Callithrix jacchus: one gene and its partner. The protein of the gene in region 1 purifies or fractionates together with the protein of each later gene. This does not show direct contact. Links are inferred from orthologs where the notes say so. Each region holds a gene or a part of one and is shown on either strand. Other genes may lie near its edges.

Region 1 (8,579 bases):
ATACAGAAGAAAAGATACATAGGAGGAGACAGGAGAAGGGGCTCAGATCTTTCATGCCTTCCCTGGGTGCATCTCCCTCCCAAGAACCTTCATGGTTCCTGTTCAGCTATCTGGAAGCTCTCTACCTGTGTCCTTTTGGGTTTTTATGCAGGCTTCATTACATAAGGCATGACTGATTAAACTGTTGCCCACTGGTGATCAACTTGACCTTCAACCCTTCTCCTCTCCAAGAAGTTGGAGATAGGCTGAAGGTCCAACTCTCTGATCCTGCCTTGGTCTTTCTGATGACCAACCCCATCCTAAAGCTACCTAGGGGATTCCAGCCACCAGCCAACTCATTAGCATACAAAAGACATCACTTTGGTATAAGAAATTTAGGAGTTGTAAACCAGAAAATAAGGTCAAAGATCAAATATGTATTTCAAAATCTCACAAAATATACATATATACACTTTTACATTTATTTTACATCTACATGTATTAAGAACATTAATTTCCATGACTATCTCCAATTCCAATCCAATCACACAAATGTCTTGCTTTTCTTATTTCAGTACTTGTAACTCCCTTCTTCAACAGCGAGAAATCTGGCTCCCATTACCCTCAACATAGTTTTTCTTTGTGTAGTTCTCCTATGTGTAATCAGCTGTCTGACCTTGCAGGGCTGCTGCCCTACCTTCCTTGTTTGGGTTCAGACTCCCCACTGAGCTGACAGCCCAGTCCAAAATGGGAGTGGCTATATTCTCCCATACAGATGTTAAAGCAGACAGAACAAGTTAGTAGAGATACATAGAAAACAATCACAGCAGAGGGGCACAGAGAGTACCTTTTGGGTTCCTGAAAGCTTTCCAATTACTGGTTCCAGTTTTTGCTAAGATGTGGCTGTATTCCTGTTTCTGGCTTTTGTGAGAAGCACCTACATCATTAGGATAAATTCTCCCTTTTTGATTGAGCTAGTTCTGGTTGGTTTCTGTTACTTGCAAACAGAGAGTCTTAAACAAAGGTATATTTAAATCCCGGCTTGTTCTACAAAAAGAAACCAAACTGTGGAAATAATTGGGGCTAAGGGAAAATAAAAATTAGCCCATAGAAAATGCATACCACATGATACTATACTGTTGCTGAAATATACATGATACTATACATGGGCTGAAATATTAGCTCTAAGATTTCTAGTGATCCAAACAAAGTGTGAAACAATATCCCTTACAGAGTTTTATGTCTCTGGAATTAAAACAAACCAGCGAGGGAAGCATGAATAGATAGGCCATTTCCAGAAGTGAACTACTCAATAAACAACTGTGTAGCCATCTGGACAAAAAAATTAATTGGATCCATACCTCCCCCTATATATGAAATCTTTTCCAAATGGATCAACATTTAATTGTAAAAGACTTAAAGTCTAAGTGTCCATCAATAGAGAATTGGTAAATTATGGTATGGATATATCTGCAATAAAATGTTAAGGGGGTTGAAAAAAATATCAAGGAGCTCTGTACGTATTGCTATAATAAACATGTCCTCTGGATATATTAAGTTAAAAAAAACCAAGGTGGAGTAAATATGTATGGTGTGCTGGCATTTTTGTAAACAAGGAACACAAGGAGTGATTCTCATATACATAAACATTTTGAAGAATGAGCAGGAAACAGCAGTCACCTACTTGTGACAGAGGACTGGTGTGAGGGAGATCTTTTTCCACTGTGTGTCTCATAGAATTTCTAATAAATGAACAATATGGATGTACTACTTATTTTAAAAATAAGAACTGAAACTGATAAAAAATCAGATGGACCTGCTGATGGAGAAGCCTGACTAGTCTTGACATATTGTGAGAGGACAACCAGAGGGGCTGGAGTTGTACCAGCCCACAAATTTCCACTGCTGGTAGAGCCCAGTGCCTGCCCCCACAGTGAGATGCTGTCCTTCTCATAAAGGATTATCTCCGGAAAGCCTTATATGTATGACTGGGGACTTATAGGTATGACATGCTCACAGTGCTTGATATATAAGAAACTATTTTTTGATACATCGGTCTGCCAGAAGAATCCTGACTACTCCCTAATTTTGCCTATGAATATGCTACTTCAGGTCAAACTTCAGGCCAATTCATAGGAAATACATTATCAAAATTTTAGCACAGTAATGACTGAGCACACCAGCCTCAAAGCTGGACTACCTGGGTTCCAATCTCAGTTGTTCACTTACTGTGTACTTACCTGCTGGAAGTTATTCCTTTCTTCATCTGTGAAAACAGGAAGCAGGCTGGGCGCGGTGGCTGACGCGTGTGATCCCAGCACTCTGGGGAGGCTGAGGCGGGCAGATCACGAGGTCAGGAGATCGAGACCAGCTTGAGCAATATGGTGAAACCCCACCTCTACTGAAAATACAAAAATTAGCTGGGTGTGGTGGTGCACACCTGCAATTTTAGCTACTTTGGGAAGCTGAGGCAGGAGAATTGCTGGAACACAGGAGGTGTAGATTGCATATGGCGCCACTGCATTCCAGCCTGGCGACAGAGCGAGACTCCATTTGAAAAAAAAAGAAAGAAAGAAAAAAAGCAGTTACAGCACCTACCTTACAGGGTGCACATAAGGATCACAGGCATACAACCCTAGGTCAGCCTGCGCAATGGCAATATAATGCAGGCCACAGATGGCATTTACAATTTTGTAGAACCCACACTAAAAAAATACAAAAAGTAAAATGAAACTTTTATCCCAATATATCAAAAAAAGTTGGTCACTTCAACATGTAACAATAGAATAATTAATGAGATGCTGAACATGATTTGGTAAAGAACACATACACCTCGATTCGGACTAGCCATACTTTAAGCGCTCAGGAGCCACGTGGGGCTGATGGCCCCAAACTGGAAAGTGCAGCCCAGGCACCGCGGGCACACAGTAGGTTCTGCTCACGCCCAAGGGCTCAAACGTGGTCGCTCAAGCCCACCACACCTCATCTGGAGCGAACCGACCCATCACGGAGTCCACTGAAGAGATGTCTACATTTGGGCATAAATTAAGACGATGTTCTTTAAGCCAGCCGCTTCCTTAGCTCCCACCGATATTTTATAATTCCTACTAGAAGATGTGGTAGACAGTTCCGACCTATGCAAATGGACAGTGTACATACACAGGGCCACCGTCTATTTCTCATTATCTGAGGATCCCAGTTGGGGTGGGAGCGAAAGCGGGTGTTTGTAGTTTCACAAACTACAAATGCGGAGGCCCCCGCACCACTAAGGCGGGGAAGCGCAGGGCAGTGGGACGGTCCTTTAAAGACGGGAGGGAGGTGGTCAGAGGGGAGCTAACCTCTCCGGGGAACAACTACGGCCGCGTTACGGTCTATGAGTGTCAGGAGGAGCAACAATGGAGGCAGTCGAATTCCGAGAGCCCGGGGCGTCCGCCAAGTTTAGCTGGCACCGCAGCCTCGGCGCGCGGGTTCCCGAGGGCCGCAAAGACTCCCGGCCGCGGCGGCAAGAACTGCAGGGTCCAGTCACCGCGCTGGGCCGCAAACACCGCCTCCGCCTCCGCGCGCGCGCCCGCTGTCTCCCTGCTCCTGAGTGGCTGGAGGGCCGGGATTAACCTTTCACCGCCGCGCTTTGTCCAATCACAGGCTTGCTCTCATGCCGCCACGGGGAGAGCGGAGCGTGGGTGTACGGAGGGGCGGCGCGGGCGCCGGTGGGATTCTCCAAGCGGCTGTGCGCCGTTGCCGCGGGCCGTGCGCGGGCTGCGGGCCAGCCGGGCGCTGCGCAGTCTCCGCAGGCGCCGGCGGGAGGGGTCGAGGCGGAGCGCGGCGCAGGCTGCTGCAGGCCCAGGTGAATGGAGTAACCTGACAGCGGGGACGAGGCGACGGCGAGCGCGAGGAAATGGCGGCGGGGGCGGCGGCGCCGGGCGGCTCCGGGAGGCCTGGGCTGTGACGTGCGCGCCGGAGCGGGGTCCGATGGTTCTCGAAGGGCCGTGGCGCCCCGTGCTGCAGGTGAGGCGGGCTCCCGCGGAGCAGCTTTGTGTCCGGGGCGGGGAGCTGCTAGTCGGCCGCGCTCCCGCCTCCGCGCCGAGGCCCGCGTGCCTGCCCTGGGCCCCAGCCGCGCGTCCGGGCCTGGCGGCCGCTGGCACACACCGCGGCCTCTCCTGCCTCGTCCTCCCGCGCGGTGCGGCCTGTGGGCCCGGCGTCTGCCCGCCGTGGCTCTGCTCCTGGGCCCTGACCCCGGCGCCTTCCCGCGAGGCAGCCCTGGGAGACTTTCCGGGCCGCCTTAGCGTGGCAGGGGATGCTGGCGCCCGCCCACTTCCCTGCCTGGCGAGGCCCCGGGGCTCTTGACAGGTCCCGTCACGCGCGCGAAAGTGGCACGGGAGCAGCGGAGGTGGAGCCGCGCGCCTGGCCACCCGGAGCACCCTCGGGCCCTTCTCTGACCGGGCCGCTGCGCCGTGCCCGCAGGGAACGAAGCCTGGCTCTTGGTCCCCCCAGGAGGGTCCAGTGTGATTACTGGCAGGGGACCAGATCGGGGCCCGGGAGACCGGGGCCGAGGCCATTCTTTTGCCCCTCCCCTCAGATGTTTTTGTGCCTAGACCCCGAGGAGGAGTCTTCAGGGTTTTTGATTTTGGGGAAATCAGTGTATGTTTTAAGTTGGCACATCAGGTTTATGTAGATTGTCCAGAAAAGCTGAGTTGCCCTGACGGCTCTGCCTGGGGGTCAGAGCTCGCAAACCACTGAGTGATCCACGGAAACGTGGAGAGGAGTGGAGGGTCCTTGGTCTGTAGAATTCACTCAGTGCTTTTGTGGAGAGAGTTGTGGTTAAAGGGACACGTTTCTGATCTACACGATAAGTTCAAGTATTCTTAGGACTTTCAGGTTTTACAAACATTCATTTGATGAAAGAGGATCACTTGGACGTCTGCGCTTCTGTCTTCGAATAGTATGAGTCTTTGTAGTCCTGATTGTCAGGTATTTTCCCTGGCGCTTGTTTTCAGTTAGTGGAAAAGGCCTCAGGTTAGGAGTTAAGTAACTCGGAAAATATTGTTAAAAATGTGCTTTTTAAAACAGGTTAGCTATATTGAAAATGTATTGGTGTAAACATTAAGTTTTCTAAATAAAAATATGCATCCTAACCAAAAAACTACGTCTATTAAAAGATGGGTTTGGGATAAGCCAGGTCCTAGAGAATAGTAAGTTCGGATATTTCTGATTTCTTTGGGAATTAGGTTCCGGAATAGCCAGTTTATTTTGCAAAGTCTTTAAAACACCTGTGAGACGTGTATATTATATGGAATATGTGCTGTATACATACAGTACATACACAGTTACTTCAAAGCTTCATTTTAGGGCATATTCCTTAAAACTCAATAGATTAAAAAACTAAAAATTTTATTTTACTTTATTTTTATTTATGTTTTTTTTTAGAGAAGGAAAGGAAAAAAGTGAAGGAGAGGAAGAAAGGAAGAAAAAGAGGGAGAGAGAATGGAAATGTTGCTTTATTCTAAAAAAAAAATGGGTATTAATAATGGCCAATCAATATTTCATTTAAACCTATGAGTAGGTGTGATGTGGTATTGACAAGAATGTATATTTTGTGTATTTGAAGTGGAGAGCTCTATAAATATTTATTAAGTTTACTTGTTCTGGATCTGAGTTCGAGTCCTTGATATCCTTATTAATTTTCTGTCTCATTGAGTCTAAGTCTCTATGTATATGGGTGTTAGGATCATTAGCTCTCACTGTTGCATTGATCCTTTTACCACTATATCTTTGTTGCTTTAAAATCTATTTTATCAGATACAAGAATTGCAACTCCTGCTTTTTATTTATTTATTTATTTTTGCTCTCCATTTGGTTGGTAGATCTTTCTCCATCCCTTTGTTTTGAGTCTTTGTGTATCCTTGCATGTGAAATGGGTCTGGATGTAGCATACCGTTGGGTTTTGGCTGTATCTTTTGATTGGGGGATTTAGTCGATTTAAATTTAGGATTACTGCCATTTGATGTTAACTGGCTGTTTTATCCATTCGTTGCTCTTTACTTTTTGGTACATTTTTAGAAAGGCTAATACTGGTTGTTTCTTTCTATGTGTAATGCTTCTTTCAGAAGCTCTTGTAAAGCAGGCCTGGTGGTAATAAAATCTCTGAGTACTTGCTTGTTCATAAAAGATTTTATTTTTCCTTCAGTTCTGAAGCTTAGTTTGGCTGGATATGAAATTCTGGGCTGAAAGTTCTGATCTTTAAGGATGTTGAATATTGGCCCCCATTCTCTTCTGGCTTGTAGAGTTTCTGCTGAGAGATCTGCTCTAAGTCTAATAGGTTTCCCTTTGTGGGTAACCTGACCTTTCTCTCTGGCTGCCCTTAGTATTTTCTCCTTTGCTTCAATCCTGGCGAATCTAATGATTATGTGCCTTCTTGAGGAATATCTTCTTGAGGAATATCTTTGTGGTGTTCTCTGTATTACCTGGGGTTGAATATTGTCCTGCTTTGCTAGTTTAGGAAAATTTTCCTGAATAATATCCTGAAGAATATTTTCCAGCTTGGATTCATTCTCTCCATCGCATTCAGGTACACCTATCAAACATAAATTTGGTCTTTTCACATAGTCCCACATTTCTTGGAGACTTTGCTCATTCCTTTTTATGCTTTTTTGTCTAATCTTGTCTTCTCATTTTATTTCATTAAGTTGGACTTCGACCTCTGATATCCCTTCTTCTGCTTGATCAATTCGAGTGTTTAAACCTGTGCATACTTCTCGGAGTTCCCGTATTGTATTCTTCAGTTCCATTAACTCACTTATATTCCTCTCTAAATTATCTATTCTCATTAGGATTTCGTCAAACCTTTTTTTTTAAAGTTCTTAGTTTCTTTACATTGGGCTACAACATGTTCTTTCAACTCACAGAAGTTTCTTATTATCCATCTTTTGAAGCCTGATTCTGTTAATGGGATGCGCTAGTTCTCCATCAAGCCTTGTTCCCTTGTTGATGAGGAACTGTGATCCTCTTTAGAGGGAGAGGCATTCTGATTTTGAGTATTCTCAGCCTTTTTACGCTGGTTTCTTCCCATCATTGTAAATTTATCCACCTGTCATCTTTGTAATTACCAACTTTCAAATTAGGTCTCTGAGTGGACATCCAAGTTGTGAATTCCCAGGGCCGAAATATGAGCAACCCACTGCGCCGGCCAAAACAGCGGGGTTAAGACTGATGGTGCTTTTCTGCCCGGGAATCTCCAGTCTGGCTTCCTTCTTGAGTCCGTAATAGGCGACTCTGCCTTCCCTGAGCTCCAACTGTCGGTCAGAAGGGGAACCAGTCCCGTTTACTCTGCACCAAGAGCTGCCGCGCCGGCCACAAGAGTCGCGCTGGTGGCCTGTGCGGCTCCTCCACTGGGAATCTTCTGCTCCGTGAGGGACAAAAATTTGTCTGAAGTGTGGCGTTCTCCGTTCTCTGCGCTTTCACTGGGAGCTGCAATCCTGAGATGTTAGTGATCAGCCATCTTGGATCATTCCTCAAAACCAAAAATTTTAAGATGGTTGCTATAAACATCGATCATGGTAACATAGGTTTATAGGTTTACTCATGGCACCAAAATGCTCTTTTAAGAAAAGACATCTTCCTACTGTTCTTTATAGTAAGGGCCTGCTTTTCCTTTTGTGCTTCCATCCTATCTTTGAAGGGTAAGCCTTGACTGCTGTATTTTGCCTCTGGCTCAGTGTGTGTGTTGTGTAACTGGGTTGTTTGGGCTCTTATTGAGCTTTATTATCTTGGTTTTAGAAGACATTTTCTTTTGATGTGGCTCATGATTCTTATTTGACAGTGATTTTGTGGCGTCATATAGTGGGCTGTACAGTACTTGCAGTGCTACCTTCTACAGAGGATGACTTTTATGGCATTGACATGTTTTATCCTCTACCACTATCTGACACGTGTGGTGCTTGTTTCATTTGAGAAAGTAGATAAATTTAGTAGACATTCTCTCACTTGTGAGCCTGCCACGTCATGGCAGTTTCCACCTACTCATGGCAAAGGAGATTAGGGCAACATGTTATTAAGTGCCTCCTTGTTATATGCTAAGATGTTTCAGGTTCTTCTACATACATTCTATTTTAATCCTCATTGCGACCCCGGGATCAACTCAATATTGTACTTGTTTTACAGGCAAGGAAACTTAAGAGTCAGTGATTATTACTCTGAGTTGGGAATCTCAAAGTCACAGAGCTGAGATCCAATCGTGGTTCGGTTTCAGAATCCTTGCAGGCATACTCTTTGCATTGCATTGCGGTTCCAAATGGATTTCAGGGGGAAGTTCTGGATCACAGGTAGTGAGTCCTCAGTCAAGACTTGTGGAATGAATGAAGTTGTGTCTAACCTGAAATGTTCAGGTGAATGAATGGTTATCAGAATATTTCAGATAGTTTTTTTTTTGGCATGATAAAATACGCATAACATAACGTTGAACCATTTTAAGTGTACAACTAGGTGGCATACAGTACATTCACATTGTTTTTATTTATTACCAATAGCCATCTACTTTTTCATCTTAACTCAAACTGTGCTCATTAACACTACTAATTCCATCCTATTTTCAGTGCCAGGGAACC
Region 2 (7,874 bases), on another chromosome or scaffold:
TCATCAACTGGTCATATGGGATCAGTGACAATAGATACAAGCCAAGGGAGAAACACCGGTGCAACAGTGGCAGATGACATGGGAGTCTAGGCTGCTTGCTAATGCAGTATACCGTGTCCTCTGCCTATGTTTGTGTTCTGCATGTATAGAACCCAGCTCATGATCAGTGGTCTTGGCTGCATGGCCACTTGGCATCCCTTCGTCAGGTGCTGTATCTCTATAAAAGCCCAGTAGCATATGAGCAGCTGTTTGACTAATTATATTGGTTAAGAACTTTAACAGAGGGCTAAACAAAATGGTGTTAAAGAATACACCTGATGGTCCAAGAAAATCCCTAACTCCCTAGAAAATGCGGATAATCTGAGAGGTGACACTGAAAAGTGTCTGTAAGAATGCATGTTCCTCCAGAGCCAGAAGCAGGAAAAGCAGAGGCAGCAGCAAGTTTATCTTCTGGGCACCTTATCCTGAGACCTCATTTTATCAATACATATGGACTGTCTACAACCAAGTGATATTATCCTTTTCTTCCACTGCCTTATGAAATCTTCCCCTAGTTTATCCAAGTCAGCATTTCACTATGCAGAAGAGTCAAATGTCATCTCTAGAGAGTTCATTTTGCTCCCTATATCCAAGACCATTTACTAAAACCTTGGTTCAATCTTTAAAAAGTCACAAGATCCTATTATGCCTAGCTTTGTTTCCAATCTTTTAAGTCTATTCCTTAACCTTGCCAAAAAAAGTACCTAAGTTTCTATGGTTTGACAAATGGAGCTTAGAATATGGAGCTATGTAAGTGCTCTTTAGAATTTAAAATAAGTTACATGTACTGGTTTTCCTTTATTTTGTAGTTTTGTTCTCAAAGAATTCCAGATATCATTTCTTTACAGGCAAAAATACCTTCTATATACTTCCTTCTGTATGAATACATGAGACCTACCTTCAAATTTCCTCTATGAAGCTTTCTCTGATCTCCAAACACAGGGCTGACACTTCCACTTAACTTAGAAAGCTAGCACGAGCTGGTACTGACAGGTGGGAAGACTTGAGATGTTACAAGAGGATATATGGAAACACGAAAGGTAAAATTAAAATCTGTTCATTAGACTTATTCCCTAACCTGTTAACCACTCTTCCCTTTAGAACATTTTTGCAATTGAGCAAGCTGGGAAGGTTTTTTGGGTAATTCTACTGATGCTTTTTTTTTTTTTTTTTTTTTTTGAGACAGGGTCTCACTCTGTCACCAAGGTTGGAGTGCAATGGTGTCATCCTGGCTCACTGCAGCCTTGATCTTCTGGGTCCAAGCAATCCTCCCACCTCAGCCTCCTAAGTACCTGGGACTAAAAGTGTGCCACCACACCTGACTGATTTTTTGATGGGGTCTCACTATGTTGCCCAGGCTGGTCTCAAACTTTTGGTTTCAAGGGATCTTCCCACCTTGGCCTTCCAAAGAGTTAGGATTAATAGCATGGGCCACTGTGCCTGGCCAAATGCTTTTTAAACTAATAATTCACCTGTGTATGGTTATGTCAAAGAAAAATACAAGGTTGCATAGGCTTAGAAAAAGTAAGGAAGTAACCCATTATATGTATGTTTGTAAATTTTGCTTAGGCCATTGTTTTTTATTTTCACCTTTGATTTTTAGAAGTAAATTAGAGCTATATAAATAACAGAATATCAACATTAAAATGTTATTCATAACAATGGCTAACAAGAACAGGGTGACAGTCAAGTCAGTAGCTTTTTAATAAAATGAGAATCCCATCATAACAGCTCTTTGTTACATGAATTCAAATACACAGCAGGCTAATCATGTTCCCTGAAATTTAACAATCATACTTAATAAAGGCCTGTTAGTGCTGTCCCTCAAGACTCTAATTCTAAAGGGCTTCCTCTGAATTCCCTTTACAAAGCTTTGTGCAAAGAAGAGCTTAAGCACCAGTAAGAAAGACTGTTGCTAGCATTTTTATTTCATTATCATCAAATACAAACATGCAGTTTCTTTCTCTGATGTGCATGGCACTGTAAAATGGGTGCTACACTCTGTCTTGTGGTACAAAGTTTATAAATACAATATACCGATACAAAGTTGAAGCCGTTAAAAAGAGCTTAATAACAACTACGAGGACAGAGTTAAATCTGGAGTGTTGATGGAATCTATGGAGTGATTTAAAAACAAGACATAAACTCAAACACTATGGTAAAAGTTTTTACTTGGGACGAGGCAAGAGGGGAACTTTTTATGTACTACTGAAGGATTTTTTAAGTTGCTCCAAGTTTACTTTCTTTCTGCTATTATCTTTAAATACTGCAAAGCATTGTGAGCTGCATCACTTTGTGCATTGCCACAGGAGATACCGGAGCCGTGACAGACCGTGATGGGGCTGGTGGACAGTTCAGCAAGACACTGATACTGTCCGTTGGCGCTCAGTTCTTCTGTAATGACACATTCAAGCACGATGGTTAATGTCAAATATGTATAAAGTAGATCCCTTTGTAAAAACAATTCTTATTTTCTTTTTAAGCATTCACTTGAAATCTTTGTTTTGCTTGTACAAACAAAAAACCACAACTGCTCAGCTGTAGCAGTTTTCAAACATACTGTATTTCATAATCATCTGACAACTTTAAAGAAATACAGATATTTAGGCTGCACTCTAGCTCACTCAATCAGAAACATAGGGTTGGGGGTGGCTGATTCCTACATTTAAAAAAGAAGAAAGCTCCCAAGGCAATTCTAATATGGTTAGTGGAACAGTGTTTGGAAATTACCGAACCACAGTAACTTTCTCAAAAGACAAAGAACCATGTGCTAGAGGACTGGAGAGACTGTATTTTCCACTAGGGTCATTTTCAGGAGGCATTTGAACCAGGAATAACTTGGGTCAAGGCAAAACCTTCCCTGTGCCTCCCTTGTGTCTATTAGAAAAAAAAGTTTTAATTGATGCATAATAATTGTATGTATTTATGGAGTTGTCCGTTCATGTTGGTAGGTTTTGAGTCTGTGCAGAGTGTAGTTCTTTATACTGTAAATGGGTCACGGTGTTTTAAAAACAATACCTGACCCAGGAAACAAATGCTCTTCCCATCAACTGATGAGTCACTCTTACTAAAGATGACTGAAATGAGGGCAAGGGGGAAGAAGTAGAAACGTGTGGTATGATTTAAAGTAGGCATAATAAAAATGTTAATTTTGATATTCCATTTAGTGGAAAATATCCAGAAACAATGGGATTATTTAATGAGTGAAAAGGCTTTCTAGTTCTAGTATCTAGGTTATTTTATTTTCTTAGAAAAATTAATCATTTTAAAGTAAGCACTTCAGTGATATTTCCTATTTGCAATGTGCACAACCACCATCTCTATCTAGTTCCAAAATATTTTCATCACCCCAAGCGGAACCTCATTCACATTTAGCAGAGGGTCCTTATTCTCCCGACCCTCCAGCCCCTGCTTGAGGTTCATCCATGTTGCAGCATATAACAGAACTTCATTTCTTTTTACTGGCTGAATAATATTTCATTGGAAGGAGAGTCCACAATTTGTTTATATTCACTGATGGACATTTGGGCCTGTTTCCACCTTTTGGCTTTTGTAAATAGTGCTGCTACGAATATACAAATATCTGTGTGTATAGGCGTTTGTTTAAACACCAGTTTTTGTTTATACCGCTAAGTAGTGGAGTTGATGGGTCACATGGCAATTCATTTGAGGAACTGAGAAGCTTTTTCCACGGAGGCTGAACTGCTTTATATTACCACAAACAATGTATAAGGTTCCAATTTCTCTACATCCTCACCAACACTTGCTATTTTCCACTTCCTTAATTATAGCCATCCTAGTGGATATGAAGGGTTATCTTACTGTGGTTTTGATTTGCATTTCTCTATTGACTAATGATCTTGAGCATCTTTTCATGTGTTTTTTGGTCATTTGTACATTTTCATTTTATTTTAAAATTTTGAGACAGGATCTTGTTATGTTGTCCAGGCTGGTCTCAAACTCCTGGGTTCGAGTGATCCTCAGGCCCAGTCTCCCAAAGGGCTGGGATTACAGGTGTTAGCCATTGTGCTCAGACCATTTGTGTCTCTCCTTTGGAGAATATCTAGGTTCTTTTAAAGAGAACTGCATGAAACTAGCCAAATTAACAGACTGTGGCTTTTAGACTGCTTTCCATATGTGTAAGAACTATTTAGTTCTCAAAAGTAGGAAGAAATGTTTCAAAAGCATCATTAATTCATAATCTAAAAATGTATTTCAGGTTTCCTTTTTTCCCTAGATTCTGTATCCTTCCTAGTCCTATTCATGACATGGCTCGTTCATCTCTGTATTCTAAACCCGCAGCAGATTGCAGACACTAATAAATATTCATTGGATGAATGGTCTCTCATCAGCCACCTTTTCTTTCTTTCTTTATTTTTGAGATGGAGTTTCACTCTGTTTCCTGGGATGGAGTGCAGTGGCATGATCTCGGTTCACTGTAACCTCCGACTCCTGGGTTCAAGCTGTTCTCCCACCTAAGCCTCCTGAGTAGCTGGGATTACAGATGCATGCCAACATGCCTGGCTAAGTTTTGTATTTTTAGTAGAGATGGGATTTCACCATGTTAGTCAGGCTGGTCTCAAACTTCTGACCATAGGTTATCCACCTATGTATGGTCAGACACGGGCGTGCCTTGGCCTCCCAAAGTGCTGGATGCCTGACCTCTTTTAGTTCTTTTTTTTTTTTTTTTTTTTTTTTTTTTGAGACAAGGTCTCACTCTGTCACCCAGGCTGGAGAGCAGTGGCATGATCATGGCTCACTGCTGCCTCAACCTCAGGGGCTTGAGTGATCATTCCCACCTCAGCCTCCCTCGTAACCAGGACTACAGGCATGTACCACCATGCCCAGCTAATTTTTCATTAGACACCTTTTCTAACCATCTGTTTGCACTGACTTCCCAGGTTTTACATCATTCTTGGTTTACTAAGACAATGCACTTAACCCATCCTTCAATCCCAGAGTAGCAGAGATTATCAGAAGTTCTTTAAGCCTAAGTGCCCTACTTTCCCAGGACCAGGGGGCCCTAACAAGCAAGGTCCCCACATCTCACTGTGGTTGGATAGGGATATAAAATTTCTCACACATTATACTGATGTTAAATCAAGATACCTTGGCCAGGCATGGTGGTTCACACCTGTAATCCAGCACTTTGGGAGGCCGAGGTGGGCGGATCACTTGAGGTCAGGAGTTCAAGATCAGCCTGGCCAACATTGTGAAACCCCGTCTCTACTAAAAAGAAAAAATTACTTTTGGGAGGCTGAGGTGGACGGATCATGAGGTCAGGAGTTCTAGACAAGCCTGGCTAACATGGTGAAACTGTCTCTACTAAAAATACAAAAATTAGCTGGGCGTGGTGGTGCATGCCTGTAGTCCCAGCTACTCAGGAGGCTGAGGCAGAAGAATTTCTTGAACCTGGGAGGGAGAGGTTGCAATGAGCCGAGATCATGCCAGTCCAACTCCGGCCTGGGCAACAGAGCAAGACTCCATCTTGGGGGAAAAAAAATACAAAAATTAGCCAGGTGTGGTGGTGGGTGCCTGTAATCCCAGCTACTTGGGAGGCTGAAGCAGGAGAATTGCTTGAACCCAGGAGGCAGAGGTTGCAGTGAGCCGAGATTGTGCCACTGCACTCCAGCCTGGGCAACAGAGCAAGAGTCTATCTCAAAAAAGAAAAATAAATAAAGATACAAAACATTGAATTAAAAGAAAATCCATACTGACTTGCTTTTCCCTCTGTCCATATTTGTCTATCCAAATGATTAAGGGCTACAGAAAATACAGATGATGATGGCTAGGATGAGATTAAACTATAAATTGACTTGTCTCCACTTACCTCCCAGAATTGGCATACAGTGACCAAGTAGAGAGAAAAGGTCTGGGCACCACAAAGTTGGTACTTGTGCTAGGAATCTGGGTGCCTTTTCATTTGCCCAGCAGCCCATCTGGGCTAGTTTAACAGCCAGGGAATCTGCGGGGACTCTCCCCCTAATCTTGCTCTACCACTGACTAGCTATGTGATCTTCAGCAAGTTTCTCAACCTTTCTGTGCCTTTCTTTCTTCACTTATAAATAAGGGTAAGAGAACTTGCTTCATAGAGTTAGTCTGAAGATTCAGTGAGTAGATACATGTGATCTCCTTAGAACAGTGCCTGGCACATAGTAAAATTCTATCTTTGCTATTATAACTATAGATGTTAGCTATTATTACTGTCCATAAGAATGGGACATATCAATTACATACATTATTGGCCTAGTAATTATATATACTTAGAATCCCTGATCAATAAAATACATTATAATAAATTTTTGTTTCTCAAACACACTTTTAAATGAACATGTCTTAGGAAAGCCAAAGAAAAATAAAATCATACCTATATCCAAATATGTTATATTAAAACCTTGTTCCTTGGCAATTTCACTAAGCAGCTGGATGTAATCTGTATTTGGAATACTAAGGAGACTTCTTTTCAGTAAGTTGATCTTTTCACCAGGAGAATTCCTCAAGGAATGCCAAGTACATCCTAAAGAATGTCCTACTACATTTGTCTGAAAAACAGAGATAAAGATTTAGACTCTTAACTAGGACTGGGTTCCAACAACAGTACCAGTATAATTAAACGTACTTATTAAGCACATTTAATATGTTAGACAACATTAAAAAGCACGCATTTAGGAAATACTACAATATATTAGAAGCACTTGCAATAATACACTGAAAGTATTTTGTATTTTGTATAGTACAAATGTTTCTCAGTCAAATTTTCTGATGGTCACATTAAGAGGTACAAGATATTTGGGAGCATTAATCCACAAATAATTATATCTGCCTAATGGGGCAATTTGCAGATTAAAATATTAAACAATTTTCATCTTTTTTAAAATTAAATACCAATCACTGTAACTGACAGCTATAAAGCAGAAAACAAACAAACAAACAAAATGTAAAAAAACCATGAAATGTGCAAGTTGGGTTTGAGGAACAAGTCATTCAAATAAATGGCAGGATATCAAAAAGTTCTTATCAGACTTCTATCCTAGAACTCCACTGAGTATTTTTTCCTTTTTCTTTCTGCTTTTCCTCTTTTCTTTATTCTCTCCTATTTCCTTCCCTTTTCATCTCTGTCCTTAAAATTCCTTATATTTCCTTAAGTTTACGGTTCTCAAATTGCTTTCACAGGCCATTAATAAAAACAACTACTTTCTGAAGTAAGTAGGACTACTACTTTTTTTTTGTATGGAGTCTCGCTCTGTCCCACAGGCTGGAGTGGAGTGGTGCAATCTTGGCTCCCTGCAACCTCTGCCTCCCGGGTTCCAGCAATTCTCTTGCTCAGCCTCCAGAGGAGCTGGGACTATAAGTGCACACCACTAAGCCTAATTTTTTGTATTTTTTTTAGTAGAGACAGGGTTTCACTGGGTTGCCCAGGCTGGTTGTGAACTCCTGAGCTCAGGCAATCTGCCCACCTCAGGCTCCTAAATTACTGGCATTACAGATTTGAGCCACTGCGCCTGCCACAGGTACTACTCCTAATTTTATTAATGAGCACAACAGAGGGAAGGCAATTTCCAAAAGATTCTAGAGATGGCATGATATAGAATTAATTATTCATTAGATTTACCAAATAAAAATTTATATTACAGAAACTTTAAAATACTGTTTTTAAATAAATTAAAAAACACTATTTACATGGTTTAAAAATACATACAGGCACTAAGAACAAATACATAATGAGCCCACTAAATGTTTGCTGAGTGAATGAATGAACAAAGGGATGTAAATGTCTTGAACTCCCAACCTCAGGTGATCTGCCCATCTTGGCCTCCAAAGTGCTTGGATTACAG

Evidence for each region. The genes of interacting proteins can lie anywhere in the genome.
Region 2: the proteins of DICER1 (region 1) and PRKRA purify together in Homo sapiens (co-immunoprecipitation; 4 studies listed by BioGRID and IntAct, with this or other methods). This does not show direct contact. The link is inferred for Callithrix jacchus from reciprocal best matches to the Homo sapiens genes DICER1 and PRKRA.

What each region holds. Positions count from the first base shown.
Region 1 is NC_133509.1:129,971,134-129,979,712, reverse strand, and holds the start of DICER1 (endoribonuclease Dicer), read left to right. Parts: upstream 1-3,663; 5' UTR 3,664-3,823; exon of another isoform or gene 3,824-3,984; intron 3,985-8,579. UniProt on the Homo sapiens protein: Double-stranded RNA (dsRNA) endoribonuclease playing a central role in short dsRNA-mediated post-transcriptional gene silencing.
Region 2 is NC_133507.1:49,619,522-49,627,395, forward strand, and holds the end of PRKRA (interferon-inducible double-stranded RNA-dependent protein kinase activator A), read right to left. Parts: intron 6,582-7,874; coding exon 6,407-6,581; intron 2,434-6,406; coding exon 2,276-2,433; 3' UTR 1,947-2,275; downstream 1-1,946. UniProt on the Homo sapiens protein: Activates EIF2AK2/PKR in the absence of double-stranded RNA (dsRNA), leading to phosphorylation of EIF2S1/EFI2-alpha and inhibition of translation and induction of apoptosis.